3 linked regions of the Elephas maximus indicus genome follow. The protein of the gene in region 2 binds, or shares a complex with, the protein of the main gene of each other region. Links are inferred from orthologs where the notes say so. Each region holds a gene or a part of one and is shown on either strand. Other genes may lie near its edges.

Region 1 (10,323 bases), on a different chromosome or scaffold from region 2:
GGTGACAGGGTCAGGCAGATGACAGGACCGTCCGCGGAACTTGTAGCACTCACATCGTCGTTGAAGCCCATGTGCATCCCACAGTCCAGCATGACGTTCTTGCCCGCGACAGAGACCAGGATACAGCTGCGGCCCACGTCCTGGCCAGCCCCTGCTCGGGGAGTGGGGGTGAGGGTGGCCGCCGTGTCTCTTCCCCAGACCCCTGTGCCACCGTCCCCCACGAGCAGGCTCCAAGCACTACCCACCGTCCCAAGACCTCGACCTGCCTGTCCCACCTCCTCCCAGCCTCCCACCTGGTGCACAATCCTTGCACGCTGAGGTGGGGGTGCCACGATCTCTGCAGAGTGGGGTAGGGACAGCTTGGGTGGCAGCGAGTATGCAGAGTGAGGGTGACTGGGGCTCTAAGCCAGGCAAGAGACCTAGGCTGGTGCCCACCACCCCCCCGCCACCCCATGTGTGGCTGGGATAGAGGGGGAAACCCCTCACCACTCAAGGTCGCAGCCTGCCCACTGGGGCTCACATCCTCGAAGGCCAAGAATGGGTAGCGTGCAGTGCTCAACAGAGGTGAGACGGTGCTCCAGGGCCACAGCGCCCTCCCCAAGGCCCTCGGCAGCCTGCAGACACACGGCCCTCCCTAGGGCCACCCCTAAGCTGGGAGAGGCCTGGGCGCCCAAGGTCTGGGTGCCCCAAGGCAGGAGATCAGCCTCCCGTCTGACAATGCCCAGCCAGAGTAGCTATGCCCAACCACAGTGCAACACTCCACCCCAGGCCACAGCAGCATCCCCACCAACAGGTCTGCAAGGGAAGGGACCCTCGGCAGGGCCTGACAACAGCAGATGATGCTCTCCTGGAATCCCAAGTGCCTCCCTCTGCCAGCCACCCAAATGTCTGGCTGTTAGTACTATACACGATAAGGTGACCAGGCCATAGTTGATCAGGACAACAGCAGGCCATGGCAGCCTTGTGCCCTGCACCCTGCCCCTACCCCACATGGTCTGGGGTCTTCCTACAAGTCTGCTCTGCCCCCCACTGAAGCGTGAGCCTGACGAGGATGGACCTGTCTGTCTCCTCTCAGCAGCATCCCCCGCCCTGAGCTGTGCCTCAACAGGCATCTGTGGAGAGGAGGGCTGTCCCTCACAGACCAGGAACTGAGAGCCCGAGCAGTTTCAGGATCCACCCAGGGCACATGGCCCTCAATGGGCCAGGGCCCATTTTCTGACCCAAGAACCTGGTTCTTAGGGCCTGGCCGTCCTACCTCCTAGCAGGTCCCACAGCAATCACAGGGAGAAGTGAGGAGCAGAGTCTGGGGCACATGGGAGGGCAGGAGTCAGTTAGGAGGGGAAAAAAAGAGAAGGGAAATCCCTGTCCGCACAGAGTTTACATTCCAGGTTGAGGAGGGATAACGAACTCATCAATAAGAACCATGTCCAGGGCGGCAGATGGCAACAGCCACAAGTAGCAAAGTGAAAACACAGTGGGGGTACGGGGGCAGTGGGGGCTCGGGCACTGCAGCACCACCACAGGGACTTCCTCTTGAAAAGGATGGGGGAGCCAGGACAGGGGAGCAGCGCACAGGCCCTGTGCTGGAAGCGCCTGTGATACTGGGTGTCAACCTGCTGCCTGGGCGCCTGTTGCCCGGGAGCTGCGCAGGTGTAACTGGCAAAGGAAAAATGGGTGAGCAGAAAGGGTTTGTTTTCATGGTGGTAAGGTGGCTTTGGGGTGACCCAAGTGCAGATGTGGGGTAACTGAAGCCATAAGAAAGTGCTGTCAGAGAGAACCAAAAAAGAAAAACGCAAACCCATTGCCATCAAGTCAGTTTCAGCTCATAGCAACCCTACAGAACAGTGAAGAAATACCTCCATGAGGTTTCCAAGGAGCAGCTGGTAGATTTGAACTGCCAAACTCTGGACTAGCAGCTGAGTTCTTAACCACTGTACCACCATGGCTCCCCATCAGGAAGAACAGGCAGTGGGAAAGAGGTGGGCTGGGATGGGGGCCAGGAAGGAGGAGTCCACAGAAGCCTCTGGAGAGCAACTGGGGAGGGCATGGGGCCACAGCAGGTGAGGGGACCCCATGCCACAGCTGTCGAAAAGGCTGTGGAGGTGGTGATCCTGTGGAAGCGTGGGGCGTGCACTCTGTCCTGGAGGCCAGGGGTGGGACATTCACTGCAGCTCTGCCAACAGCTGCATAAGTTGAGAAGCCTGGGAGCCAAGCTCAGTGTCTGTGCTGGGGCAGGGAGGGACTCACTGGTGAGAAGCTCAGCGCTGTGGGAACAGACATGGAAGATGCCCCTGACATACTGCCCAGGGAAGGAGGCAGGTTCCAGAGTGGCACCAGGCACACAGAGTGCCCAGGGCATCCAGGGGATGGCCCCAGCTGCTTCTGGGACCCTAGGTTTGAGTGAGTCTTTTCTCCTTAAAAAAAACCCATTGCTGTCACGTCAACTCCAACTCATCGCAACCCTACAGGACAGAGCAGAACTGCCCCATGGGGTTTCCAAAGAGCAGCTGGTGGATTTGAACTGCCAGCCTTTTGGTTAGCAGCCAAGCTCTTAACCACTGCACCACCAGGGCCCCCTTTTCTCCTTAGCACTGTTAAACTAGGTGCCATGGTGCCAATCATGACTCATCATGACTTCATGTGTGTCAGAGTAAAACTGTGTTCCATACGATTTTTGATAGCTGATGTTTTCGAAGTAGATTGCCAAGCCTTTCTTCCAAGGTGCCTCTGGGTGGAATCAAACCTCCAACCTTGTGTTTATCAGCTGAGCACATTAACCATTTGCAAGAATCAGGGACTCCTATTAAGACTTTTCATAATGCACATATGTACGTCTTACAAAAAATAAAGCTATTTTTTTTTTAATTTTGCTGAACTGAGTGCTGATTGCTGTATTGGGTAAACGGGGCTGCAGGTAACCCTGGTGTGAGCAGTGCCGAGTGGAGAGACTGTAAGACAGAATGAGAGGGTGGACGGCTGAGCAAGAGGTGAGGTCAGAGGAGACACGAAGGGCAAAGGTGGGCAAAGGTCGATGTGCAAGGGGAGGCAAATACGCTGACAGAGGAAACAACCGTGAGGTCACAGGGGTGGGAGAGACTCTGAGTGGTCTCCCACACCACTGCCCAGGGACAGTGCAGCATCTGCCGAAGACTGACTTTGTGCCAAGCATGGGGGCGAGCACTTTACCTCAGAGCCTTCTGAGATTAGGTAGCTCACACCTGCCTCGCTGTCAGAACACATACAGAGAGACGGAGATGTGGCATCACACAGCTACTAGCAGGACAGAATACAACCCCAAAGCCCATCCCTTAACCACTCTCCACAGAGCTGGCACCTGCAGGAGCAGCCAGAACAGAGGTCAGGATCTCCACGCACACGCTGACCAAGCGACCTCAGGCTAGGGACTGATTCAGGCCTCAGTGTCCTCACCAGAACAGAAGGAATGCCATGCAGCCCCACCCCCTCTCAGCACGGCCCTAAGAGTCCAAGGAAGCTGCATCCAGGAAAGGATTCTAAAAGCCGGGACCCATGTACAGGCAGTACCACGTGGCGGAAAAACACTGCCTGGATTTGAACCTCTCACGGTGATGACTGCCCCCATGTATCTGTCAGTTTGTTGTACTTTGAGGGCTTGACAACTTGAAGAGGAATGGCATTGCATTCATCATTAAAAAGAACATTTCAAGATCTATTCTGAAGTACAACGCTGTCAGTGATAGGATAACAACCATACACCCAGAAGGATGACCAGTTAATACAACTGTTATTCACATTTACATACCAACCACTAAGGCCAAAGGTGAAGAAATTGAAGATTTGCAGTCTGAAATTGATTAAACATCCAATCAAGATGGATCAATAATTACCGGTGATGGAATGCGAAAGTTGGAAACAAAGAAGGATCAGTAGTTGGAAAATATGGCCTTGGTGATAGAAGCTATGCCGGAATCACACGATAAAATTTTCCAAGACCAATGACTTTATACGTTTTTTCAACAACATAAAGGGCAACTATACCCTTGGACCTCACCAGATGGAATACACAGGAATCAAATTCAATCAAAGAGACAATGGAAAAGCTCAGTATCATCAGTCAGAACAAGGCCAAGGGCCAGTTGCAGAACAGACTATCAATTGCTCATATGCAAGTTCAAACTGAAGCTGAAGAAAATTTGAACAAGTCCATGAGAGCCAAAGTATGACCTTGAGTATATCACACCTTAATTTAGAGACCATCTCAGGAATAGATTTGATGCATTGAACACTAATGACCAAAGACCAGACAAGTTGTGGAATGACATCAAGGACATCATACATGAACAAAGCAAGAGATCATTAAAAAAAAAGGAAAGAAAAGACCAAAATGGATGTCAGAAAAGACTTTGAAACTCACTCTTGAATGTTGACCACCTAAAGCAAATGGAAAAAACGGTGAAATAAACAAACTGAACAGAAAATTTCAAAAGGTGGCTCAAGAAGACAAAGTAAACTATTATAATGATATGCAAACACCTTGAGTTAGATGACCAAAAGGGAAGTACACCCTTGGCATTTCTCAAGCTGAAAGAACTGAAGAAAAAATTCAAGCCTCGAGCTGCAATAGTGCAGGATTCTATGGGGAAAATGTTAAGCAACTTCAGGAAGCATCAAAAGAAGATGGAAGGGGAAAAAAAAAAAAAAGATGGAAGGAATACACAGTCACTATACCAAAAAGAATCAGTCAACGATCAACCATTTCAGGAGATACCATATGATCAGGAACCCATGGTACTGAAAGAAGAGGTCCAAGCTGCCTGGAAGGCTCTGGTGAAAAACCAGTCTCCAGGAATTGATGGAATACCAATTGAGATGTTTCAACAAATCATTGTAGCACTGGAGGTGGTCACTCATCCATGCCAAGAAATGTAGCCAACAGGCTGGAAGAGATTCATATTTGTGCCCATACCAAAGAAAGGTGACTCAAGAGAATGAGGAATTATCGAACAACATCACTAACATCACACGCAAGTAACATTTTGCTGAAGATAATCCAAAAGTGGTTGCAGCAATACATCAACAGGGAACTGCCAGAAATTCAAGCCGGATTCAGAAGGGGATGTGGAATGAGGGATATCACTGCTGTTGTCAGACGGATTTGGCTGAAAGCAGAGAATACCAGAAAGATGTTTACCTGTGTTTTACCGACTATGCAAAGGCATTCAACTGTGTGGATTGTAACAAATTGTGGATAACATCGTAAAGAATGGGAATTCTAGAACACTTAATTGCGCTCACGAGGAACCTGTACATAGATCAAGTGGCGGTCACTCAAACAGAACAAGGGGATACTGTGTGGTTTTAAGTCAGCAAAAGTGTGTGTCAGGGTTATATTCTTTCACCACATTTATTCAATCTGTATGCTGAGCAAATAATTCAAGAAGCTGCACTATATGAAGAATGCGGCATCAGGGTTGGAGGAAAACTCATTAACAACCTGCGATATGCAGATGACACAACTTTCTTGCTGAAAATGAAGAGGACTTGAAGCACTTACTGATGAAATCCATAGCCTTCAGTATGGACTACACCTCAGCATAAAGAAAACACAAATCCTCACAACTGGACCAATAAGCAACACGATAAATGGAAAAAAGATTGAAGTTGTCAAGGATTTCATTTTACTTGGATCACAATCAACACCCATGGAAGCAGCAGTCAAGAAATAAAAATATTCATCACATTAGGCAAATCTGCAGCAAAAGATCTCTTTAAAGTATTAAAAAACAAAGATGTCACTTTAAGGATTAAGATGCACCTGATCCAAGCCATAGTATTTTCAGTTGCCTCATACATGGGAAAGCTGGATAATGAATAAGGAAGACCGAAGAAGAATTTGACGCCTTTGAATTGTGGTACCGGAGAAGAATATTGAATATACCATGGACTGCCAAAAGAATGAACAAATCCCTCTTGGAAAAAGTACAACCAAAATGCTCCTTAGAAGCAAGGATGGCAAGACTTCCTCTCACATACTTTGGACGTGTTATCAGGAGGGATCAGTCCCTGCAGAAGGAAATCATGGTTGGTAAACTAGAGGGTCAAAGAAAAAAGCGAAGATACTCAACAAGATGGATTGACACAGTGGCTGCAACAATGGGCTCAAGCATAACAATGATTGTGAGGGTGGTGCAGGCCCAAGCAGTGTTTCGCTGTGTTGTACATAGGATGGCTATGAGTTGGAACTGATTCGATGACACCTAACAGTAACAACACGGTGATGGCTGTGGGCTTTGAGTAAGTTACCGAGGCTTTCTGTGAGCCAGCTACACAGTCCCTAAAATGGGGATAGGAGTCCTTAACCCCCAGGGTTGTGGTGACGATGAAGAGTGAAAACAGATGAAGGGCTCCCGGGGGGGGCTGGCTCGGGGCACTTCCACCAAAGGTCATCGTCACCCATTCGAATCCCAATCTCCTCTAGCTCCTCCTGACGGTGGGTTTGAGCTTACCCAGAGGGGTGACTCTGATCTCCGGCATCTTCACTGGGCGAACTCCCAGGCTCGGGGCACGTGCAGGGCCGGGTCGGGCCGACACGCCGCACCTGAACTCCCGCCGCGTCCTCGGGGTCCCGCGGGGACTTAGGCTGGGAGGGAACCGGGGAAGGAAAACGGCCGAGGGGGGCGCAGGCCCCAGTCCCCCGGGAGAAGGGCGAGCTCCGCTCCTCAGTGATCACTGAGCCAGCGGCGCCTCGTTCCAAGCACAACCCCACCGCCCCCACACTAGGACCCCTGACCACCAGGATCGCTGGCTGTACGGGAGCCCGACGCGCTGCGAAGCACTGCGCAGGCGCAACCCCTGCCCCAACAGCGCCGTCTTCTGGTTTGCTCGCCGGAAACGCGGGCTCGTTGGGCCTCCTGATTGGACTCCCCGCAACCAATCGATGGGCGGCGCCGGCGGCCTAGAGCTGAGAGGGGCGGGCGGGGCCGGCACGGCCGGCCCGGCAATTGCAGAAGGCTGTAGCGGAGGAGGAGGTGAGCGTTTCCGGCCGGACTCGGCGGGGCGGGCAGGGTCGAACCCAACCGAGCCGACCGAGGCGGGTCTGGAGCCGTGGAGGAGCCTGGTGTGGGTCCGAGGGGCAACTGTTGGGACCCCAGGGGCGGAAGCGGGGAAGGGGAACCCTCGCGGAGGGCTGCGGCGGGGTGGGCGCCTGAGTCCTGTCTTGCAAGGCGGCCCCCCACCACCGTCCTATGCCTCCCCATCCCGGTGCCCTCAACTGGAGCAAGACCTGCCCAGGGCCCGACCCCACTCTCTTCTGAATCGCAGACCCTACCCTGGTGCCTCCGCAGCCCCCTTCCCAGGTGAGACTTACAGGTTTCCTGGACAGGGGCCCAAATTGCTGGGTTCCGCACCCACCCATAGGTCTGGGCGCCAGGTTGCCCACTCTCTGGCCAGGACTCCAGCCTGCTGTCAGTCACAAACTCCAGTGCCCAAGCTGTCCTCCCTCCCAGCCCTGACCTTGGGGCTGCCTGCCCCTTGAGGAGCCTTGGTTGAGCCTCTGCAATCACCTTACCTGAGCTGGCAGGCTGCCCACCTTTCCTGTCGCAGACTGACAGCTGTGAAAGGCTCACTGGCAGCTCCTGTTGGCTGTGATCCTGGGCAGGAAGCCCCAGCGGCAGGTTGTCTGGTGACCAGGAAGGAGACCCAGAGCCTCAGAGACCATCTGTTCAATGGACAGAGAACTAGGCCCTGAGAGGGGACGCTACCTAAAGTCTTCGGGCACCATCCTCCTGAGCCCAGGCCCAACCTTTCCCCGGCACCTGAAGACACAGTGAACTCATCTCTAGGGACTCCATACTTGTAGACACAGTGAGCTTGCTTGTTGGGGCTCCACCCAAAGCCAGGCATGCAGCCAAACTCATAAGGCCTGCAGGGCTTCAGCACTTACTGGTGCCCCCAGATGCTCCCAGCAGCCGGGGAGTGAACAGGGCAGGGCGCGTTGACTCCTTTTTTCCCAGAGATGCAGAGTCTTAGGATGGTGAGTGACCTGCCCACTGAGGAACCAGCTGTCCTCCTGGTTGGGGGTGTCATCACAGCTGGTCTTCTCCATGCTAGGGACCCCACGGGGGTGAGGGGGCAAATCAGGGCTCCAAGCATCAAGGGGCACAGGAACCCCCAGGCACAAGTTTGTCCTGGATACAAGGTGACATGTGGCTGAGTCCCCAGGCTCCATTGCAGGTACCCTCAGATGTCAGGCTGATGCCCTTGGGGTAGCATACCCAGGGAGGCAGGGGCTGAGGTTCCCAGTGGTACCCACTCTTGCGTGGGCACTTGAGTGTTGTGGAGTGATGTGTGAGTGCATGCAGGGTCCAGAGCAGTGCCTTTGTAGCCTCTGGTCTGTGGATGCTTCTGGCAGGTTCCCTGGGGCTGGAGGAAGGGCCTGTCTTCAGAGTGTGGTAAGGTCCTTGGCCCTGCCACCCTCCTGCACAGATCGTGTACAATTTCAGCAGCAAGAGTGAAAAGATGGTTCTGTGGCCACAGCTCTGGCCCAGGGGGTGCCACAGTGATGGAGGAAGGAGGGAGGCTGCCCAACTACCCTCCCTGCCTCTTGCCTTGCTGTCATGCTTCTGTTTCTTTGAGGTTCACCAACTCATATGCTGCATCGGAATCCCCTGTGTTTACTGGTTGTTGTTTATCCTTCCCACTAGAACATCACCTTGACAGGGCAGGACTCACCTGTTCACAGTGGGTCCCGAGGGCCAAGAACAGCACAGTAAAAACAGACACACACTCTAGTGAGAGACAGATGGCAAATAAGCACGTAAGTAGGACAGTGGCTAGAGCACACACCGCAGTGAAACATAGCAGAGGCGTCTGAGGAAGCCTGGGAGGGTATGCCGCATTAAGCGGTTGGTCAGGGACAGCTTCACCGAGACCCAGGTGGAGATCTCTTTACAAGGGTTCCAGGCAAGGCCACAGCAGGGCAAAGACCTCGAGGCAGGGACAGGAGGCATGGCATGTCTGGAAGGCAGATGGGCCCGCCTTAGGAAGAATTCCATTTTGGGGGGTGGGGTGCCATTGCAGGGCTCTGAGTAGGTAGCCTGTGATCCCAGCTCTTTCCACCCCCTCCCGCCCCTTTCCTACGGAAGAAAAATAAAAACACAGTGCAGAACAAGCTGACTTAGTGGGAGCTTTGTGTGTTTCAGTTCCTGTTGAAAATGGATGATTCGGAGGCAGACTTCAACTTGAAAGTCGTCATGGTTGATTTTAAGCAGTGCCTCAACGAGAAAGAGGAGATCCTAATGAACCACTACCTCAGCGGCTGGTGGGGGCTGGTGAAGTATGTGCCTGCGCGGGACTCCCTGCGACTGTCAGTGTCCCCAGAGGGGCCTCCTGCCCCAGAGGTGGCGAGGAACTGGTTTGGGGCAGGGCTTTCCTAGCCAAAGGTCCCCTTCTCTGATCCCTACATTCCTGCAGGTGCTTGTAAGTACCAGGTTGGTGCCTGCCAGCCGGGTACAGAGCTGGGTGCTGGCCCTAAGGCCGGCAGCACCTGGCTTCTTTCAAGCGACATGCCTGGGCCCCACGCCTTTGGGAGGAGGGGTCAGGGTTGGGGCTTCAGCTCTTGCAGCCCTGGTGGGAGGGAGGCGCTGCAGACCCTGCCAGGCCCTGCCCTCAGGTGGCATGGGACCCTGGGAAGCACAGACTGAGCTCCGGCTTTCCCTTGAGCAGGTTTCTGAACAGTCTGGGTGCCATCTTTGCGTTCATCTCCAAGGACGTGGTGGCAAAGCTGCAGATTATGGAGCGGCTGCGTAGCAGCCCACAGGGGGAACACTATGCCAGCCTGCAGTCCATGGTGGCCTATGAGGTGGGCCACCAGCTGGTGGACCTGCAGCGGCGTTCACGCCACCCTGACTCGGGCTGTCGCACTGTGCTGCGGCTACACCGAGCCCTGCGCTGGCTGCAGCTGTTCTTGGAGAGGCTGCGTACCAGCCCTGAGAATGCCCGCACCTCCACGCTCTGCACTGACTCGTATAATGCCTCACTGGCTGCCTACCACCCCTGGGTCGTACGCCAGGCTGTCACCGTGGCCTTCTGTGCCCTGCCCACACGCAAGGTCTTCCTGGAGGCCATGAAGGTGGGGCCACCTGAGCAGGCCATAGCAATGCTGGATGAGGCGCTACCCTTCCTCCAACGTGTCTACGATGTTGTCCAGAAGCTCTATGCAGAGCACACACTGCTGGACCTCCCCTAGTGCAGCGGGCGGTCCTCTCGTTGCGTCCTCCTTCATGCTGGGGCAGACTGACAGAGAAGTGGGTGCTGGCTGTCTGCTTCTCTGCCGTCCTGGTCAGT
Region 2 (10,323 bases):
GTAATTTACCAGTGCTAAGATTTTTTTAAGATTAGGTAAACACATTCCTACACCAAAGACAAAATTACTCAAAAGTATGCTCAAAGGAAAAACCGGTTGCCATCAAGTCGATTGCAACTCACAATGACCCTATAGGACAGAGTAAAACTGCTCCATACGGTTTCCAAGGAGCAACTGGTGGATTAGAACTGCCAACCTTTTGGTTAGCAGCCATAGCTCTTAATCACTGCACCACCAGGGTGCTCAAAGGCAGAAGTGCATTTCAAATATGACCAATTCCCCATCTGTCATCTATATTTTCTAAGGAGGTGACTGGCACAATAAGGAGGCCTGAAGGAGGGGAAGGGACAATAGATACGGGGTCAGAGGATCTAGAATTCTGGCAAGCCTACGCCACTTACTATGTACATAACCTCGGCAAAGTTATTTATTTGAGAAATTAACCTTGAGCTATGAGATGCAGCAGAAAGAAAAAGGACTTTGAAATTAGCCAGATCTAGGTGTGCAGCTCATATTTACTATGTAACAGCTCTACGCCTTAAACGGGCTAATTAACCTCTCTGAGCCTCATCTCTGAAATGGGAATAACACCAACTTCAGAGGGATACTGAGAAAACAACTGGCACAGAAATGGGCACATAATGGGCAGTCAAGTATTAGTGTCTCTCTTCCTTTCTCTCCCTTAAGCATCCATTCTTTCACGTGAAAGGAGGAAGTAAAACTATCTCCATTTGAAGATGACATGATCCTATATTAAGAAAGTCCAAAAAAATCCACAAGGAAGCTACTAGAAATAATAGAAGAATTGAGCACAGGCACAGGGTACAAGGTCGACGACCAAAAATCAGGTGTGTTTCTTTACAACAGCAATGAACAATCAAAAAGACAATTAAGAAAACAATTGCATTTATAATAGCAGCTAAAACAATATCTAGAAATAAATTTAACGACGGAGATGAAAGACTTGTACACTGAAAACTATAAAATATTGTTGAAAGAAATTTTAAAAGGCCTAAATAAACAGAAAGATATCCCATGTTCATGGATGGAAGACTTAACATTAAGATGTCAGTACTACCCAAAGCAATCTACAGATTGAACACAATCCCTACCAAAATCTCAACAGCTTGTTTTGCAAAAATGGAAAAGGTGATCCTCAAATTCACATCAAATTGCAAGGGCCAAAAAGCCAAACAATACTGGAAAAGAACAAAGTTGGATGACTCACACATCCTGATTTCAATACCTACACAAAGATACAATAACTAAAACGGTGTGATACTAGCATAAAGACAGACACATAGACCAATGTAATAGAATTGAGTCCAGAAATAAACCCATACATCTAGGGCCAACTGATTTTGGACAAGGTGTCAAGTCCATTCAATGGGGAAAGAACGGTCTCTCCAACAAATGATGCCAGAACAACTGGACTTCCACATGCAATAGAATGAATTTGAATCCTTATCTTATACCATGTGCAAAAATTAACTCAAAACGGGTTAATGATTAATATAAGCACTAAACCCATAATATTCTTAGAAGAAAACAAAAAGGTAAATTTTCATGACCTTGGATTTGGCCATGGTTGCCTAGATATGACACCAAAATCATCAGCAACAAAATAAAAAATAAACTGGACTTATCTAAATTTAAAATTTTTGTGCATCAAAAGGCTTTATCAACAAAGTAAAGTGACAACCTACAGAATGGGAGAAAATATTTGAAAGCCACATAGCTGATAAGGGGTTGAGTACCAGAATACATAAAGAACTCCTATAACTCAACCACAAAAAGACCAAAAAAAAAAAAAAAACCACACACACACAATTTAAAATTGGGCAAAGGACCTGATAAACATTTCTCCAAGGAAGAAAGACAAATGGCTAATAAGCACATGAAAAGATACTCAAAGTCATAAGTCATCAGGGAAATGCAAATGAAAACCACAATGAGATTCCACTTTACATTGACTAGGATGGCTATATCAGAAAAATAACAAGTGCTGGCAAGGATGTGTAGAAATTAGAACCTTTATGCACGCTGGTGGGACTATAAAATGTAGAAAAGCTTGGCAATTTCTCAAAAAGTTAAACAGAATTACTATATGACCCACCATGTCCATACCCAGTTATATACCAAAGAGAACTGAAAACAGATACTGAAACCCTTGTACACAAATGTTCATAGCATTATTATTTACAATACCCAAAAGGTGGAAACAACCCAATGTCCTTCAACAGATGATGAATAAACAAATGGTGGTATATGCATACAACAGAATATTATTCAACCATAAAAAATGAATAAAGTACAGATACATACTATAACTGGGAGCAACCTCGAAAACATTATGCTAAGTGAAAGAAATCAGAAACAAAAGGTCACATATTAGATATGAAACATCCAGAATAGCTAAGTCCACAGAGACAAAGCAGATTGGTGTTTTCCAGCAGCTGGTAGAGGAGAAAATGAGAAGTGATTGCTTAATGGGTAAGGGGTTTTCTTTTGGGGTGATGAAAATGTTTTAAAACTTTATCCAGGTGGTGGTTGTGTAAGATTATAAATGTACTAAATGCCACTGAATTGTATCCTTTAAATGGTTAATTTTATGTTGTGTGAATTTCATCTCAATACAAGTATCTGGGAAAAACTAAAGAAATCTGAAAATGGACTAACATTAAGGAATTAGTTTTGTCAGATGTAGTCATGTGGTTATTTAAAAAAGAAAAAAAAAAAGATGTCCTTTTTTTAGAGCTATTTACTAAACTTTTTAGCAGAATATGATACCTTAAAAAACTTCAGGAAAACAAATAGATGGAGCAGATTTGGCAAAATAGTAATAACTTTAAAATCTCTGGGATGGGTATTTGAGAGTTCATTATACCATTTTCTCCCCTTTTCTGTAAGTTTAAAATTTTTCATACTAAGGTTTAAAAATTTAATCTGTGATTCAAAAATCTGAAAATGATTTTTTCTTTTACTTCAGATCTCACTATACAAACTAATAAACATATTTTGTGATTAAACTATTTCCACATTTAATCATGCTTGAGTTGATATTTTACCTAACCCATTAAGATACCTGGAAAAAAGAATGCCAAGTTATTTAAAAAAAGTGGGGGGAGAGCAAGGCTGAAAGCTACTGTAATTACTACAATGAAGTCCTGAATCAGGGTGGTAACAGCAGGGGTGATGATGAGGGAACTACATTACAGAGCTGAGTCTGGTTGTGGAAGGGTCATGGTACATGTCAAATCCTCCTTTGTGCACCTACTGCACTCTGTATGTATTGGGCTGACAGTACCCACAACAGTTTGATGCAGTATCATTTACCACCTGGTAGACTCTAAGCCTCCGAGGACAGGATGTGGATCTTTTTTACTTATGTAATCATAGTGTCTAGCACATGGAAGGCACTAAGTAAACGACTGCTAAATGAACACCTTCTTTATTTTGCAATATTAACTCATTCCACAGATATGATACATCTCTCATATATACCCCCATAGGTCTTCAAGCTCTCCTTACCTTGTAATAATGTTCCAAGAGAATCCTGACTACTCCCTCCACACTTTCTGCTTCAACGGGCTTCCTGGCAAACTGGAGTAGGTACTGCAAAGCATCTGCTGGGGAAGTAGCCTTACACAGATCTATGTGGAGTGCTGCAGATTTACTTGGTTTTGTTAGTCGGAGTTTCTTGGCAGCAATTTCTTCTTGCTGTTGCTGTAAAGAAGAAGGGAAGATAAGACATGAAGACCTAACTGAAAACACAGATCAGAATCAACTTGATTTGGGTTTGGTTTTACTGTACATACGCATAATAAACACAAGATACATATCACTTCTCTCTCCTCACAGCAGAGAAAAAAGAACAGAAAGGCTAAGATCTCATTTCATCACTAAACCACTCATGCAGATTAAAGTGAAAAACTGCTTGCTTTAAAACCCTTATCCATTCCCAGCTTATTCTACACAAATCCAGTCTTTAGTGTTATCTCGGCTGCAGTTAAGACAAAACTTGGGGAAGATTTTTCCCTAAGAAACTATCTAATGGGGAGGACGAACTGATATCATTCAGATATCAATAATAACGTTTTAGTGAGCCAGGCCCTGTGGTCCATTCAGGTGACAAAGATGAACCCAGATGTCATCTCTGCCATCAAGGAGCCCAGAATGCTGGGAGTATACACACTGGTCACTGCAGTACTGAGCAATAAGTACAAATAGATAAGTGCAATAGAGTCCTATAGAAGCAGAAGAAAAAGACTAAAACTATCACTAAAGTTTCCATTGGATCTTGAAGCAAAAGTATAAAATTGAATTGGGTGAGGAACAAAAAAGATGGACAAATGGTATGCATTCTTTGCAACAGAACAAATACAAAAGTTTGGAGATATGCAAACACAAGGCACACTGGGGAAGTCTTGGAGAATAGTCTTGGGAAGTGGGAACAACAGTGTTGGGAAAAAAGAAAGTGACAAGTGATTAAACTGGAAGGAATACTGTCAGACTGCAAAGGGCTAAGAAGTTTGGTTTTACAAAAAGATGGTGATGCAAAAGAGAAAGGAAGAAACATTTGATTTGTCAATGCAATTGTCTCTCTGTATTACAATTACAGATATGTTCTCCTGTCTCTCCCATTAGCCTGTGAGTTCCTTAACAGCAGAGACCCTGATGTGTACTGGACTTTGTAGACCAACACTTTTCACAACGCCTGGCACATAGTAATCCCTCATCGACTCAATAAATTCTTGTTGAATGAATGAATGAAATGTTTAAGGATCAGCTTCCTACTGGATCATCTAGGCCTTGCTACTCCACAAGTCTGAAACTCTAAGGATGGTTAAGGATCCGAAGCATTGACATCAATTGGGAACTTGTAGGAAATGCAGAATATTGCCTCCCTTCCCCTCCCTCAGCCTGACGGACATATTGAGTAGAACTGACATATTAACAATATCCTCGGGTAATTTGTATACACAACAAAGTTTGTGAAGAACTTCCCAACGGATGATTTGAGATCAGCCTCTACTTCACCGACAGCTAAATGGAGACATGTAGAGCATCAACGGCTGCTAAACGGGAGCTAAACCCACCTTTCTTAAACAGCTTCAAAGACACAAGATCACCCTCCTTCGTAGGGCAGCTGTTCCACAAATGGAGCGTTCTGCCTGCTTTGACACGTGGGCCTTGAAGACCTCTATAGACTCTTCTTCAAGTCCCTTGTGTTCTTGTTGAGTGCAATCAAGTCGATTCCGACGCATAGTAACCCTATTACAGAGTAGAACTGTCCCGCAGGGTTTTCTAGGCTGAAATATTTACGGGAGCTGATCGCCAGGTTTTTTCTCTCGCGGCCGCTTATAACTTTGCAAACTGCCACCTTGCCCCTGGAGGTTTTTTTGGAGAAGTTGGGAATTGGACTAGTAGGCACTGTGTCTTCGTACCCCTCCGGAAGCCTCAATAACAACATCTGTGAAACTAGGATAATGTAACCCGATCTAACAAGTTGTGTGAGAAAACAAAATGAGATAACGGATGAAACAAAGTTCGTAAAATGTAAAGTGTCATTTATTTATTCTAATAATAAGAAAAATTGCGTCAGGCTATTAATGACAACAGTACAGGCAAACTAACACGCCCACTAACGTGTACTCTCAGAAACCCTACGATAGAGTAAGCGCTCAACACTGGTTGGCGCCTGTTCTGGCAAAGTGCCTGGAGCCTGGATAACCGTCCCCGCCGCGGAAGTGTCCTGGGAACTTTGATGCCGACGCTTACCTGAACCACCTTAGTGAATTCTTCGTACACTCGCTTCTTAAGGTGCGCCGCCATGGTTGCCCACGGGCCCTCGCAGCTTCCGTACTCACCACCGGAGGCGGGGTGGAGGGATCCGGAAAACCGGTCAAGGCTGGACAAATTCGCCGCTATCCCACAAGCCAATGGGGCTCTGGGAAAGAGAGGCCACTTCCTGCGGCTCTACTGCCCCGGAGCGGTACGGCCGGGCTTGTCCGCCTACGCCTCGTGCGCCGGGGGGGACGAAAACGGAATCTTAGCGTGAAGGGGCGGGGCCTCTGCCGGGAGAAGACAGGACTGAAAGGGTGAACGAGCCAATAGGAGCTTCTGGGGGATTGCTGGTGGTCTGAGAGTGGCCCAGAGGCTGGCGCTGAAGTTGAGCGAAGGGAAGGAGGAAATATAGATTAACGGGCAGAGGCGGGGCGATTCAGAGCTAGAAGCAAAACCTGGAGATATGTAAGGGTTTTTGACTGGCAAAATAGCGGAAGGAGGCCGAGCTGAGGTTCCTATCGTCCTTTGTTGTTTATAATGCTTGCTAATTGTCGCTTTCTTGAACTCCGTTCAAGCCGTGCGCCACCCCTCCTCTGGCCCAAGGTGCCTTTTCTTCTTCCCAAACTACGGTTATTCAAAAGCTGTCCATCCTTTAAGGAGTCGCTCTCTCTTCTGATAGCTACCAAACCAAAACCAAACCCGTTTCCATCCAGTCGATTCGGACTCATAGCGACCCCATATGGCAGGTTCCAAGGAGTGGCTGGTGGATTCAAACTGGTGACTTTTTGGTTAGCAGCTGTAGGTCTTAACCGCTGCGCCACCAGTACAGTGGAAAGAAGGCCCAGGCCCAGTGTCAAAAAACTAGCCTTCAAGCTAGTTTTTGGCACTTGACGAGCAAGTGGCCTCAACTACGAATGCACTGATAATGCCTAACCTGACGAAAATGTAGTAATGACGAAACGAAACGTGGAAATATTCTATACTGTGGAGTTCATGTGTTAGTATTAATAAATCCAAGGTGGAGTTTTACGCAGTACATCAAACTTTCGCTGTTCATTGTTCTTTTAAGAGTTAATGTAAGATGCTTAGAAAAAGCAGGAGGCTGTGCTAGGTACAGAGGACCAAAAAATGCATGCAAGAGCTACAACCAAATTGGGGAGACAGACACTCAAACTGATCATTACAGTTCAACCCCAAGTGCTGGATAGCGGAAGAATGCAGTTCAGACAACTTCCTCAGGATGCCTCAGGGAAGCCTCACAGAGAAGAGGATTACTAATCTGGCTCTAAAAGAGTAAAAGGAAAGACATCTCAGACTACAGCACATACAAATGCATCAAGTGAAATGAAAAGCACTTTGGCAAACTGCCTGCAATAAATGATGTTGTTAGCTGCTATGGTGTGGAGAAGGATACGCTATCCGTTGCCCAATCCTCTGCCATCCCCATGATCTGTTGGGGCTCAGACAGTTGTGATCCATAGGGTCTTCGCTGGCTGATTTTTCATAAGTAGATCACCAGGCCTTTCTAGTCTGCCTTACTCTGGAATCTCCGCTGAAACTTGTGGAGCTTCATAGCAACATGCAGTCCTCCACTGGAAGACAGGTGGTGGCTGTGCACGAGGTGCCTTGGCAAGGAACTGAACGTGGGTCTCCCACATGGAAGGCAGGTGAGAATTCTCCAGTTGAACCATCACTGCCCTCCGATAAACGTTAGCTGCCATTAATATATTGCCATTACCATATTCTATCAAATCTAAGCTGCCAGCAGGCATAGAACAAACCATTATTTTATGTATCATATTAAGAAAAAATGCTAAAATTAAAAACAGTGGTTTCTTATTGGTTAGACTTGTTATGTATATTACTGAAAGAACTCCTTTAAACTTATTTAGACATATATTTGTATCATATGTGATACTGTCGTGTTTTCCTGCCTTTCTGCACACATAAAAATTTTTCATTTAAGTGCCAAATTATAGGGTAATCTCTTTGAAGATATTTTAAATGGCAAGTAAAGACAAAACTTGTGGTACCAAAAATGCACAGAGCTTAATCAAAGTGATGATATGAACTATGACCCAGTTTTCACATGAGCATTTGGCCAAAGCAATTTTAAGATGTATCCTGATTTCAGAAATGTTAAATGGGCTTTTAACATCAATAATATATGGTATTATTGTCTTGGTTAATATTATTAGTTACATGGCTGCAGGATGGAATTTGGTGCATTCAGAAAACCAAAGGAAATTCAGTTTAGATTCAGAGTAAAGTGCATGGGGGAAATAGGGAGGAGCAATAGAAATAAGATTGAGGAGAGGAATTAGGGACAGTCTGGTATAGAAACAAGAATGTTCCACATTCTTTAAGGATGAAATGAAAAACTGTGTTTATTGAATTGATGCCATTTTCTTTTGATGTCCATTATCGGACATGAGAATACAATGAGGTGTCCCAATGAATCCCCTGGGTTTCTAACTGAGTCTTCACTGTCCCATTGTAGAACACAAACCCAGTTTCCAGGGGGAAATCATCCAGGCTGGTACAGTAACTATCTCTCCACCTGTTGGCTTAGCAGCAAGAGCCCAAAATGGCCCAGAGGCAGTCTCAAGTTTCCATTGTAGTATAATAATGATTGTGTTCTCCAATGGAATTGTTTCTTCCTCAGGAACTACGCACTCCAAACCCACTGACCCAAGAATTCACTGTCATAGTCATCTAGTGCTGCTATAACAGAAATACCACAAGTGGATGGCTTTAACAAAGAGAAGTTTATTTTCTCACAGTAAAGTAGGCTAAAAGTCCAAATTCAGGGCATCAGCTCCAGGGAAAGGCTTTTTCTCTCTGTTGGCCTTCTCATCAATGTTCCCCTGGACTAGCAGCTTCTTTGCTCAGGGACCGTGGGTCCAAAGGATGCGCTCTGCTCCCAGCATCGCTTTCCTGGTGGTATGAGGTCCCCCTGTCTCTCTGCTCATTTCTTTCTTTTATATCTCAAGAGATTGCCTGAAGACACAAACCAATCTTGTAGATTGAGTCCTGCCTCACTAACACAACTGCCATCCATCCTCCCTCATTAACGTCATAGAGGCAGGATTTATAACATGTAGGAAAATCACACAATACCAGAAATCTGATACGCACATTTTGGGGGGGACATAATTCAATCCAGGACATTCATGCATGAGTTATTAGGCATAAAAGTGAAAGAAACCACTCCAACTTCCATCCCTTGGTTCCCAGATAGTGAATTCTAACAGTAGAGTAAAAAAAAAAAAGAATACCATATTTTAATTGTTTGCTTAAGGCATAAGCCACAAACATTTAAGATAGCACCCCAAACTTGCGATGTGTTGTCTCTTAGCTAGCACCATAACTGAATCTGCAAATGGCCATTACACTGTTTTATCATAGCAGCTACATCTGAGTGATGCCCCTGAGAAGATCAATGAATTCCATGACCGTGAGCTCTTTGGTGCAATTCTTTCCCAATAAAATAAGTTTCTATTCTTTAAATTATTTTTTTAAAGATATAAAATTTACATACAATAAAAGGCACAGATCTTGAGTATAGAGTTGGATGAGTTTGACGCATATATATCACCCAAATCAAAATATAGAACATTTTCAACGGCCCAGAAAGTTCCCTTATACCCTTTCTAATCAATCTCTCCCCACATCTGACAACCGTTTCTATCACTGTTTTTGCCTGTCCTAAAAAAATCATACAAATGGAATCATACAGTATGTACTTTTTGTGTTTGGATTCTTTTATCCAACTGGGATGGACTGGATTGTATCCCCAAATAATGTGTCAGCTTGGTTAGGCCATGATTCCCAGTATTGTGTAGTTGTCTTCCATTTTGTGATTTTCCCATGTGTTATATATCATAATCTCTACTGTGGTTAAGGAGAATTAGGGTGGGATGTAACACCCTTGCTCAGGTCACATCCCTGATCCAACGTAAAGGCAGTTTCCCTGGGGTGTGGCCTGCATCACCTTTTATCTTACAAGAGATAAAAGGAAAGGGAAGCAGGCAGAGTAGGGGAACTTCATACCACCAAGAAAGTGGTGCCAGTAGCAGAGTACATCCTTGGGACGTGGGGTTCCTGTGTAGAGAAGCTCCTACTCCGGGGAAAGATTGATGACAAGAGCCTTCCTCCAGAGCCGCCAGAGAGAGAAAGCCTTCCACTGGAGCTGACACCCTGAATTGGATTTCAAGCCTACTAGACTGTGGAAGAATAAATCTACTGTGGTACTTCTGTTATAGGAGCACTAGATAACTAAGACACCAACATTACATTTTTGAGATTCACTGATGTGGTTGGGGGTATAAGTAGTTTACCCCTTTTGTTGCTAAATAATATTACATTGTATGAGTATACCATGGTTTGCTTCTCTGTTGTCCTTTTGATGGATATTGGGTTATTACCAGTTTGGTCCTTATGAAAATCTTGAATATTTTTGTAGACAATTTCTTTCATTTCTCTTGGATATAAACCTTGGAGTGGAATTACTGTGTCATAACTTAAGTATATGTT
Region 3 (10,323 bases), on a different chromosome or scaffold from region 2:
ACAAGAACCACATGTTTATCAATCAATGCAGAGAAGGCCAATGAAACAAGACCCATACCTCACTCCATGCACAAAAAAACAAGCTCAAAATGGATCAAAGACCTAAATAGAAAATCTAAAACAATAAGGATCATGGAAGAAAAAATAGGAACAACATTAGGAGCCCTAAAAATGGCATAAACGGTATACAAAATATTACTAACAATGCAGAAGAATAGATAACTGGGAGCTCCTAAAAATCAAACACCTATGCTCATCCGCTATGAGTCAGAATTGACTCGATGGCAGTGGGTTGGGTTATGCTCATCCAAAGACTTCACCAAAAGAGTAAAAAGATGATCTACAGACTGGGAAAAAGTTTTTAGCTATGGCATTTCCGATCAGTGCCTGATCTCTAAGATCTACATGATACTGCAAAAATTCAACTACAAAAAAACAAATAACCCAATTAAAAAGTGGGCAAAGGATATGAACAGACACTTCACTAAAGAAGACATTCAGGCAGCTAACAGAAACATGAGGAAATACTCACGATCGTTAGGCATTAAAGAAATGCAAATCAAAATTACAACGAGGTTTCATCTCGCTCCAACAAGGCTGACATTAATCCAAAAAACACAAAATAATAAATGTTGGAGAGGTTGTGGAGAGACTGGAACACTTATACACTGCTGGTGGGAATGTCAAATGGTACAACCACTTTGGAAATCGATTTGGCGCTTCCTTAAAAAGCTGGAAATAGAACAACTACCATACAATTCAGCAATCCCACTCCTTGGAATATATCCTAGAGAAATATGAGCCTTTACACGAACAGATATATGCACACCATGTTTGTTTTTTTGTTCACTGCAACACTGTTTACAATAGCAAAAAGACGGAAGCAGCCAAGGTGCCCATCAACGGATGAATGGATAAATGAATTATGGTATATTCACATAACAGAGTACTATGCGTGGATAAAGAACAACGATGAATCCCTGAAACATTTCATAACGTGGAGAAACCCGGAAGGCACTGTGCTGAGTGAAATTAGTAAGCTGGGAAAGGACAAATATTGTGTAAGGCCACTATTATAAGAACTCCAGAAATAGTTTAAACTGAGAAGAGCATATTCTTTGATGGTCCCGAGAGAGGGGAGAGAGGGAAAAGGGAGGGAGGGGGCATTCACTAATTAGAGAGTAGATAAGAACTATTTCAGGTGAAGGGAAAGACAACACGCAGTACAGGAGAGGTCAGCACAACTGGACTAAACCAAAAGCAAAGAAGGTTCCTGAATAAACTGAACGCTTTGAAAGCCAGCGTATCATGGGCAAATGGTTTCAGAGGACATCTAAGTCAACTGGCATAATAAAATCTATTAAGAAAAAAAAAAGAATACTTTGATATGAAGTTAATAGCACCAGCTTCGAATATTCCCTTCTAGTACTTTACCATTCACAAAAATGTGGATTATATCTGCAGAAGGAATAAATAAATCTTTGTTCAGTAATTTCTGCTGTTGTTAAAAAACGACAAGGGATATGTTCACATGAAGGCTTTATCTGGGTGCCACTGTTTCAATACAAAAGACTAAACTAAGTGTGCACTGGCAGTTGCTACAACTTACTAACCGGTTATGTTCTGTAAATACACTCAAGTCAGTTATTGAATACTTGAAACGTATTTCCTCACAGGAGCTACAACAATTCACCAGCACGCACAGCAGTCTAGAACCTAATAACCACTTACAGAATAAACCACTGACAGAAGCTTCTACAGGAAAATTAACTCAAGTTAATTGAAATTCCTGATTGGGATATTGGGAACATGCCCCTTCTTTGTCTGATCCCTTGTTCTTGTCCTCCCCCTCCCCCTCTCACACACTCTGAGACTCTAGAAGAGTCTTCCCACCAAACAGGCAGTGTGGTCGGGACGTTCTAAGTCACAGGCAGTGGCTCCTGTAGCCTGAGGAAGACTTTTCTAAAAGCCCGATATGAAACCAGGGTGAAGCGACAAGCAGATAGGGCAGCAAAGGACACAGGGAAGGGCAGAAGAAGGAAAGCAAGGGCTGAGGATGGGAGGTGAGAGGAAGGGAGAAGGAACAGAAGATGTGCGCTCACGTGCACGCACGGGGGCAGGGGCTGTTGGGAAAATCCACAGTAAGAGGACTTTTTTCCTCCGCTTCTCACTGCCAGTTGTCGAGTTAAATGCAAAGGATGGTAAAGCTCCTTCTGTAACGAATTTACCTTGGTTGGGAAAAAGATAAAGCAGGAATAGCCCATGTGTGGGGAGACTCCCCTACCGATATGACCACGTTTTATCTTCCCTTAGAAAACAAAGTCACAGGCCACACTGATTTAATAAATGTGCCGGTCTAAAATGTACCAAAGATAATCTTGATATGGTCAGAGACATGTTCTGATTTCTAGTATTGCTTAATTTTATCTAAGATAAAATAAACCCCCATTCCTCTAACAGAGCCATAGGATAAATGAACCAAATAGTAATAAATCTCTGGTTTATTTTCTGATGTAACAGTCTTAGGAGAAAGAGTCTTAGGTTGGCGCTGACAGACAGGACCTGGGTGCAAGAGGGCAGAGAAGTGCTTTATGGCCTCAGCGATAACCGTAGGCTGGGGAGGCTGTGGTACCCATCTTGCTTGCTCTAAAGCCAATTTCGACTCAAGACTAAGCTAAGGACCCCAAAACAGGAGCTCAGTCCATCAAATCCTGACCTAAGAGGGGTTCCGCTGCTAGCTACATCCAACCTGAAGAAGAATGCCCTCATCAAAAGATTCTGACACCATGAGTACCAGATGCTACAATTAGCTCTGCTGTCATCCAGGGATGTTGCAGCCATTGCTGCGACCACTGTACACTAAGAACACAACCACGACTGCTGCCGGCACGGCAGGGGGACAGATTTCAGCACAACTTCCAGCCTAAAACAGACTTGGAGGAAAAGCCTGGCAATCTATGTCTAAAAATTAGTCAATGAAAACCTTATGGATCATAACAGATCACTGTCTGACTCGATTGCTTTGATGTCTCATAACGAGGATTAACCATGGGAGGAGGATATCACATTTAGTGAAGTAGAGGGTGGGTGAGGGAGACCCTTGGTGAGATGGACTGGCATGGCAACCACAATGACAGACTCGACCATGACAGTGATGGTAAGGATGGTGCAGGACCAGGCAACATTTCATTCTGTTGTACATAAGGTCGCCATGATTGGTGTCGATTTGATGGCAGCTACCTCTCTGATAACCCAAAGCTCACTAAATTGATAAGGACAAAGCCTCGGTAATTTACATTTAAAAAGCAGGAATAAAAACAACTGAAATGACAGTCCGCTCAACTGATAATGAATTAATAATAAAGCACCCTTCCCCCAATTTTCAGAAATTCTGCCTGTAAATGTACATAGTAGGATACATGGAATATCGTGCATTATCCACATTTCTTAGAATACTAATTTCAGCCTGTGAATACCAACTCTTAGAAATGCTTAATAATTCCCTTTGTAAGTCACAAGATATAGCACTCAGTCATATGTAAAAATGAGTCTACTGATCTTCATTTGTTAACTGCTGATCAAATAAGATGTGTGTGTGTGCACGTGTGTTAGAGAGAGAGAGAGACAGGGATTTTTAAATACTTCATAAACAGTATTCCTCGGACTACATTCTGGAAAACAAAAAGTTGGAACTTGTAGCCTTCTGACTATGACCTTTGGCTCACAAAACATAAAACATTGTTAATAGGTAAAAAACGAAATGATTCAATATTTAAAATACTATATAGTCTAATGAAACTATTTCTGCAGTTTAATTTTCTAACAGCTTTCAAAGGTACAGCATGGTGAGGTGAAAAAGAACAAGAGTTTTGTACTTATCTTGGACAAGTTATCTTTCTGAGTCTGAGATTCATCTGTACAATACTCCCCAGGGCACTGCTGGGAGAACTGAACATAAACACTAAGGATCGAGGGCTGACATCTGGTTTCCAGCTGAACAGTCAGTAGCCATCCACTTATTCCTTACTGACCTAAAGTATTCCTATTTCAACTGTTCTTTAAGAGAAAATTTAGTTGTTATTTCTACCACAACTGCAAATTTTCAGAAATTAAATAATTCTAGATTTCTCATTTCTTCAGTGCCCCATCCTGATCCCGGCTGTACAAACACTGTCCTGCTGTCAGCATGGGACAAGGCCAGCTGTGTATCAGACAGCACAAGACCCACAACTCACACTGGGGAATAAGGGAGAAAAGCCTATCAGGATGGAGAGGGAAAGACTGTGTAGTGTTTAAAAAACATGTTTAATATTACAATTTAATATTTCAGGGGAAAGACTTATAGCTTTGGTAATCGAAAGCAAAGCTAAACATTTTCTTGGCTAGAGAAGATGGATAAAGATACTGAGACTCAAGCAAAGGAACAGTCCATTGGGGCGTTGTGACGTTTTTATATTGATAAAAAGGAGGTAAATGCCAAAAGAGAAAAAAAGTGTGAGAAACTCTTATCTAGTCAACCTACTAAAAATGTTTACAGGTTAAAGAACAAGCAAAACAAGAAAAGAAAATCAAAAAAGGAGTTCCAAAGAAGTTAATAGACATGTCCAAGTCGGCTCAGAGGGGACTTACAGGCAGATCCTTCTGACTCACGGTCCAATTCTCAGTACATTACACACTGGCTGCGGATAATCAAGAATTAACTGTATCAGCTGCAAAATATGCTTTTCCTACACAATAAAAATTCCTCAAGTGCAGTGGAACAAGTTTCTCATTAGTACCTGCACCCCCTTCCCACGCCGATAAACCGAGGCTAGGTGAAGTAAGGTACCTGTCCGTGACGATGAAGCCTGCAGCACTGAACTTGAACTCAGGGCACCCAAAGCTCCTCCTTCCACCCTAGGAAGCCCGCCCCCGCCCGGTCGCCTAGGAAACGGCTCGGGGAGCCCGTTTGCGGGGACGGGGGAGACCAAGCCTTCCCGAGTTTAAGCTGCGTGGCATCCCGCACGCAGCAAGGAGTTACGGAGACCCACTCAATCTTCACAGCGCTGGCGCAAGATTATTCTTCGGCACCCTTCATGAAAACCTGGGCTCAACTGAACATATCAAAAAATAATTTCACCTTAGCATTTTTAGAAACGAGCCATTTTCAGTGCTTGGAAAACCAGGGGATCGTCCCCTCAAGTGGCCAAAATGCCCATGACGAGAGCTCGCCGGTAAGACAGCCAGCTATGCGGTCAAGGCCAACAGGGCGACCCTGCAGCCTTCCTCTGGTTCCCACCAGCCGCCGAAGCCCTCGGCCACCCCGGCCCGCTCCCGCCGCCTCTCCCGAGGCTCCCGCCACCTGGGGGCGCCACTTCCCTCTCACGCGCTCCCGCCGCCTCTCCCGAGGCTCCCGCCACCTGGGGGCGCCACTTCCCTCTCACGCGCTCCCGCCGCCTCTCCCGAGGCTCCCGCCACCTGGGGGCGCCACTTCCCTCTCACGCGCTCCCGCCGCCTCTCCCGAGGCTCCCGCCACCTGGGGGCGCCACTTCCCTCTCACGCGCTCCCGCCGCCTCTCCCGAGGCTCCCGCCACCTGGGGGCGCCACTTCCCTCTCACGCGCTCCCGCCGCCTCTCCCGAGGCTCCCGCCACCTGGGGGCGCCACTTCCCTCTCACGCGCTCCCGCCGCCTCTCCCGAGGCTCCCGCCACCTGGGGGCGCCACTTCCCTCTCACGCGCTCCCGCCGCCTCTCCCGAGGCTCCCGCCACCTGGGGGCGCCACTGCCCTCTCACGCGCTCCCGCCGCCTCTCCCGAGGCTCCCGCCACCTGGGGGCGCCACTTCCCTCTCACGCGCTCCCGCCGCCTCTCCCGAGGCTCCCGCCACCTGGGGGCGCCACTGCCCTCTCACGCGCTCCCGCCGCCTCTCCCGAGGCTCCCGCCACCTGGGGGCGCCACTTCCCTCTCACGCGCTCCCGCCGCCTCTCCCGAGGCTCCCGCCACCTGGGGGCGCCACTTCCCTCTCACGCGCTCCCGCCGCCTCTCCCGAGGCTCCCGCCACCTGGGGGCGCCACTGCCCTCTCACGCGCTCCCGCCGCCTCTCCCGAGGCTCCCGCCACCTGGGGGCGCCACTGCCCTCTCACGCGCTCCCGCCGCCTCTCCCGAGGCTCCCGCCACCTGGGGGCGCCACTTCCCTCTCATGCGTTCAGCCGGCTCCCCCTCTCCTTCCCATACCTTTGTCCAGTTCCATAAGGGCGGAGTTCGCATCTAGCTCCTGTTCGCCATAGCCGGCATCTGCCAGGAAAGACTTAGTTGAGTTTGACGCCATGACCTGAATAGTTACTTGACTAGCCTATTCAGAAAGGCCGCAAACCCTGCCCCAACCCCGCCATCTTCCTTCACCGCCTTCTCGCGGATTTTCCCTCCGCGCGCTGGCAAGCCGTGTTACGCATGCGCCCTGGCCATCCCCCGGTTCGCCAGCGCCTCTTCGACCCCCCGCGCAGGCGCTCAAGGGGCTCTTGAATTCTGGGTTCCCGCGGACCGGCGAAGAGGAGGCGGGGCTCCGGAGGGGGAAGTGACTCTGCGGCGCCATGACGCCACGGCGGGAGCCAATCAGAGAGCGTGACGTCAGTTTGGCGCGGAGTTTGGTGGCTGGAGCCTGCAGTGGCGGGAGTGGAAGGCAGCGCCTGGTCTTGTTCTTGGGGTGCAGGCTGCGGTTTCTGCGGGACCTAGGGCATTTCAGAGCCTTTTCTTCAACTGCGCGTCTTCCTCTGGCCCAGATGCTCTTCAGTTTGGTGCTCCGCCAGCCCCAGCTTGGCGTCCCGAGAAATGGTGAGTAACGGTCCTAACCGCCGCTCGTGGCTGGGGGTCACCTCCCCGAAACACGACACCCGGGCCCGGCGAGTGTCCCGCGGCGCCAGCAGAGCCTTCGCGCGGGCTGCTGAGGAAAGGTGCTTTCAGCGCCTCGGGGCGGGCCGGAGGGGCGGGGAGCTAACTGACTGACCCCCGGGGCGCTTTACGGCCTCGCGCCTGTGGCGCGCGTTAACTGAGGTGCTGGCGTTGGACAACGTGCGCGGCGCCCCCCACAGCTGTGTGCAGCGTTAACTGAGGTGCTGGCGTTGGACAACGTGCGCGGCGCCCCCCACAGCTGTGTGCAGCGTTAACTGAGGTGCTGGCGTTGGACAACGTGCGCGGCGCCCCCCACAGCTGTGTGCAGCGTTAACTGAGGTGCTGGCGTTGGACAACGTGCGCGGCGCCCCCCACAGCTGTGTGCAGCGTTAACTGAGGTGCTGGCGTTGGACAACGTGCGCGGCGCCCCCCACAGCTGTGTGCAGCGTTAACTGAGGTGCTGGCGTTGGACAACGTGCGCGGCGCGTGTGCGTTAACTCATCCATTGGTCCTAGAACCGATGTCTAGATGATCCACGAATGAGTGGGACGCGCTGCTAAGGAACTTGCTCAAGCAGAAAAGTTAGACCATGTGCTTCTAGAAGGTCAAAAGTTGTCTTTTTTTTTTTTTTTCCTGATTATTACATGTTCATAAAAACTCGAAATTATAGAATGAAAGATCTCCGTAATCAGAACATCCCCCAGAGAGGACCACTGTTGATGGTTGAAGTATAGTATTTTGGGTGTTTTTTTATGCCAGTGGTAATATGTATTGTTATTTACGGAAATGAGATAAAAATGTTTTGTTTTTCATTTTAACGGTATAACTTGGATGTCTTTCCATATTATGTAGAAATCCAACTTATTCTCTACAGCTCTTTCGATTCCTTATAAAACATTGTCAGCAAGAGTTTTGAACTTGGAGTTCGGTGTCTAAAACTTTCTGTATGAAACTTAAACTGATAAGGGAGTTGCTACCTAGGCTAGACTTAGACAAATTAAATGTCACATATTTTAATGTTGACTACACTGGAAGGTCTTCCTTCCCCTTGAAACTCTGTGGAAAACGAAAAGGAAAGAACCTGAGAAGGGAACTTTCTGTATTTAAGAGGAAGGTCTAGGAAAAGGATGTTGGGAGGGAGACTGAGGAGCAGCCCCTCAGCTTCCCGCTACCAGTCTAACACTACATACCATCCCTACTAACTTCCCTCTTAAATATTTTTTTTTGGCTGTTTTCTAAATTCCCTGCTTACTATCTCTCCTAGGACCTTACATGAGAAATTTCTCTGACCTCTGTGTCACGATCGGTAGGTAGGGCAGCACAGTGATGAAGAGCTCTGTCTTTGGAGTTAGACTGAGTTTTAATTCCAGCTCCTCTCCTTGCTATCTGTGTGACCTGAGGCAAGCCCCTCTATCTTGCCACAAATATTCTCCTAATTCTCCAGTCTATCTGTCTACTTCTTCCTCTCCCTTTCTTTCTCCAATTCACAAGAATTCATTCATTGCTACCTGTTAACCACCAGTTGCTGGCTGAATGGTCGATTCTGCCTCATGGCAACCCCATGTGTGTCAGAATAGAACTGTGCTCCATAGGGTTTTAACGGCTGCTTTTTTGAAAGTAGATCGCCAGGCCTTTTTTCAAAAGCACCTCTGGGTGGGCTCGAACCACCAGCCTTTTGATTAGCAGCCAAGCGCGTTAACTGCACCACCCAGGGACTCCTGCTATACGTTAAACACTGAAATTTACAGGACTGTCTTGTTTTCCTTACCCCTTCAGTGTTAGTGTTCCATCCTTGGCTCGTTTTCTTCTTCCACTTACTCTATTAGATGCTCAGTGTCATAACCAGGGCCTCTTCCACTGCTACAGTTTCCCTCCCCTATGCTTTAGACCCATTCCTATAAAAGCTGTGTGGACATCTTCACCCAGATATTTGGTTCCATGATCATCTCAAACTCAGATGCCCAAAACTGAACTGTTTTCCCCAAAACCTGCTGTATTACCTAATTTAGGGATTGGGCTCATTATTTTAAACCAGTCTTCCTAGCCAGAAACTTTGAAATCATCCAAGACTCCTCTATCTTTACTATATACATTCAAAAAGATTCTGTGAAGCCTCTGGACTCTGTCCTGTCTTCTCTATCACCATCGATTCTGCCTCTTCGCTCCATCTTAGACCTGTTCTTTCCTTACCACGGTATTTCCCTGAGTTGGGCCCTAATACCGTCTTATCTGGACTCTTACGTCTCCCAAGTGGCCTTTTAGTTTCCCCCCTCCAGTTTATTCTCCAGATTGCTGCCAGAAATATTTTCAAGAATGGAAATCTGATCACTCCTGTGCATTTTTAAATTGGTATCAAAATTTTTTATCTTAAGTTTAAACAGATACAAAAAATATAAATTTTGATATTGTGAATACTGACATTTAAAATTAAAATGTTATATCCCTTTTTAAATGTATCTGTTGTTGTTAGGAGCCTTTAAGTCGGTTCTGACCTGTAACGACCCTATGAACAACAGGGGACTGCCTGTAGAATGCATTCATACATTACTTATGTAATTAAAAACAAGTTCTAAGAGACAGAATGCAGAAATAACACACATACTTTTAAAAAACAATATCATAAGCAATGATAGAGGAAATTTTGCCTGAGGCATTTTGGGGGAACACTACTGTTCTACTAAAGGCCCCCATCCTACTCAGGGGGTTCAGGGAAGAGGTCCTGAAAGACAGGGAATCAGATGGGGGAACCAGTCCAGGTAAAACGTCACTTCTGTGAAGATCCCTGTAATACACCCATCAAGGAGTAATTTTCAAAAAAGTTAAAAACAGGGTTCTTAATGCAAAATATAGGAGACACATGTCAAGAATTTTATTCTATTCATCAGTTTACCAAGGAACCCGTAAGCTAGAAAGACTTACGAGGAAGGGGATTTATGTAGTCACGTAGCCAAAGGAGTACTGAAATGCATGTGCTTATAGAGAATTTAATTCAAGAGTGTTTTCTTTAAGTTGTGTGCTTTTACTGAACTGGTCTTTAAGTGCATGTACAGGTAAGCCCTGGCTGCCTCTGCATCTCAGCCAACTCCCAGGGAGACCAGAAGCCTTCAGACATTTAAAGTTGGGGGACTCAAGAGGCCACAATGGCTGACCACTCAAAATAAAACAAAATAAAAAAGCAAGTGTCTTAGTCATCTTGTGCCGCCATAACAAATATGACAAGTGGATGGCTTTAACAAAGAGAGATTTATTTCCTCACAGTTTAGTAGGTTACAAGTCCAAATCAGGGCATTGGCTCCAGGGGCTTTCTCTCTCTATTGGCTCTGCAGGAAGGTCCTTGTCTTCAATCCTCCCCTGATCGAGGAGCTTCTCAGGCGCAGGGAGCCCGTGTCCAAAGGATGTCCTCTGCTCCTGGTGCTGCTTTCTTGGTGGCATGAGGTCCCCAGCTTTGTGCTTGCTTCC

Evidence for each region.
Region 1: the proteins of INTS4 (region 2) and INTS11 are in contact, whole or in part, in a cryo-EM structure (PDB 7BFP), measured with the Homo sapiens proteins. The link is inferred for Elephas maximus indicus from reciprocal best matches to the Homo sapiens genes INTS4 and INTS11. Residues at the interface, in NP_291025.3 of Homo sapiens: Leu159, Asp161, Thr162, Arg167, Tyr203, Gln207, Asp244, Ser292, Gly294, Trp296, Arg299, Lys323, Met326, Ser327, Asp328; in NP_060341.2 of Homo sapiens: Pro183, Trp191, Lys194, Asp212, Gln288, Gln400, Gln404, Lys462, Met465, Ala466, Leu469.
Region 3: the proteins of INTS4 (region 2) and INTS7 are in contact, whole or in part, in a cryo-EM structure (PDB 8RC4), measured with the Homo sapiens proteins. The link is inferred for Elephas maximus indicus from reciprocal best matches to the Homo sapiens genes INTS4 and INTS7. Residues at the interface, in NP_291025.3 of Homo sapiens: Glu536, Met539, Asp540, Arg571, His572, Ala574, Tyr575, Asp578, Ser579, Ser610, Phe613, Arg620, Leu624, Leu627, Gly631, Glu634, Leu635, Phe638, Arg641, Asp642, Arg645, Leu646, Glu648, Leu649, Gln650, Lys677, Leu678, Trp679, Asn680, Val681; in NP_056249.1 of Homo sapiens: Lys137, Asn138, His140, His141, Arg144, Gln145, Gly175, His205, His206, Asp207, Ala208, Ser244, Ser245, Leu246, Val247, Lys282, Thr283, Pro284, His285, Thr286, Thr321, Ile322, Lys325, His326, Gly686, Tyr689, Glu704, Gln707, Gln708, Leu711.

The regions. Positions count from the first base shown.
Region 1 is NC_064821.1:39,918,147-39,928,469, forward strand, and holds the start of INTS11 (integrator complex subunit 11), read right to left. Parts: upstream 7,023-10,323; 5' UTR 6,514-7,022; coding exon 6,486-6,513; intron 635-6,485; exon of another isoform or gene 487-634; intron 152-486; coding exon 54-151; intron 1-53. Other genes in the region: CPTP (ceramide-1-phosphate transfer protein), read left to right, coding at 9,192-9,313, 9,703-10,225.
Region 2 is NC_064825.1:44,096,358-44,106,680, reverse strand, and holds the start of INTS4 (integrator complex subunit 4), read right to left. Parts: upstream 5,969-10,323; 5' UTR 5,836-5,968; coding exon 5,782-5,835; intron 3,727-5,781; coding exon 3,532-3,726; intron 1-3,531. UniProt on the Homo sapiens protein: Component of the integrator complex, a multiprotein complex that terminates RNA polymerase II (Pol II) transcription in the promoter-proximal region of genes.
Region 3 is NC_064842.1:634,941-645,263, forward strand, and holds the start of INTS7 (integrator complex subunit 7), read right to left. Parts: upstream 6,457-10,323; 5' UTR 6,305-6,456; coding exon 6,211-6,304; intron 1-6,210. Other genes in the region: DTL (denticleless protein homolog), read left to right, coding at 6,756-6,807. UniProt on the Homo sapiens protein: Component of the integrator complex, a multiprotein complex that terminates RNA polymerase II (Pol II) transcription in the promoter-proximal region of genes.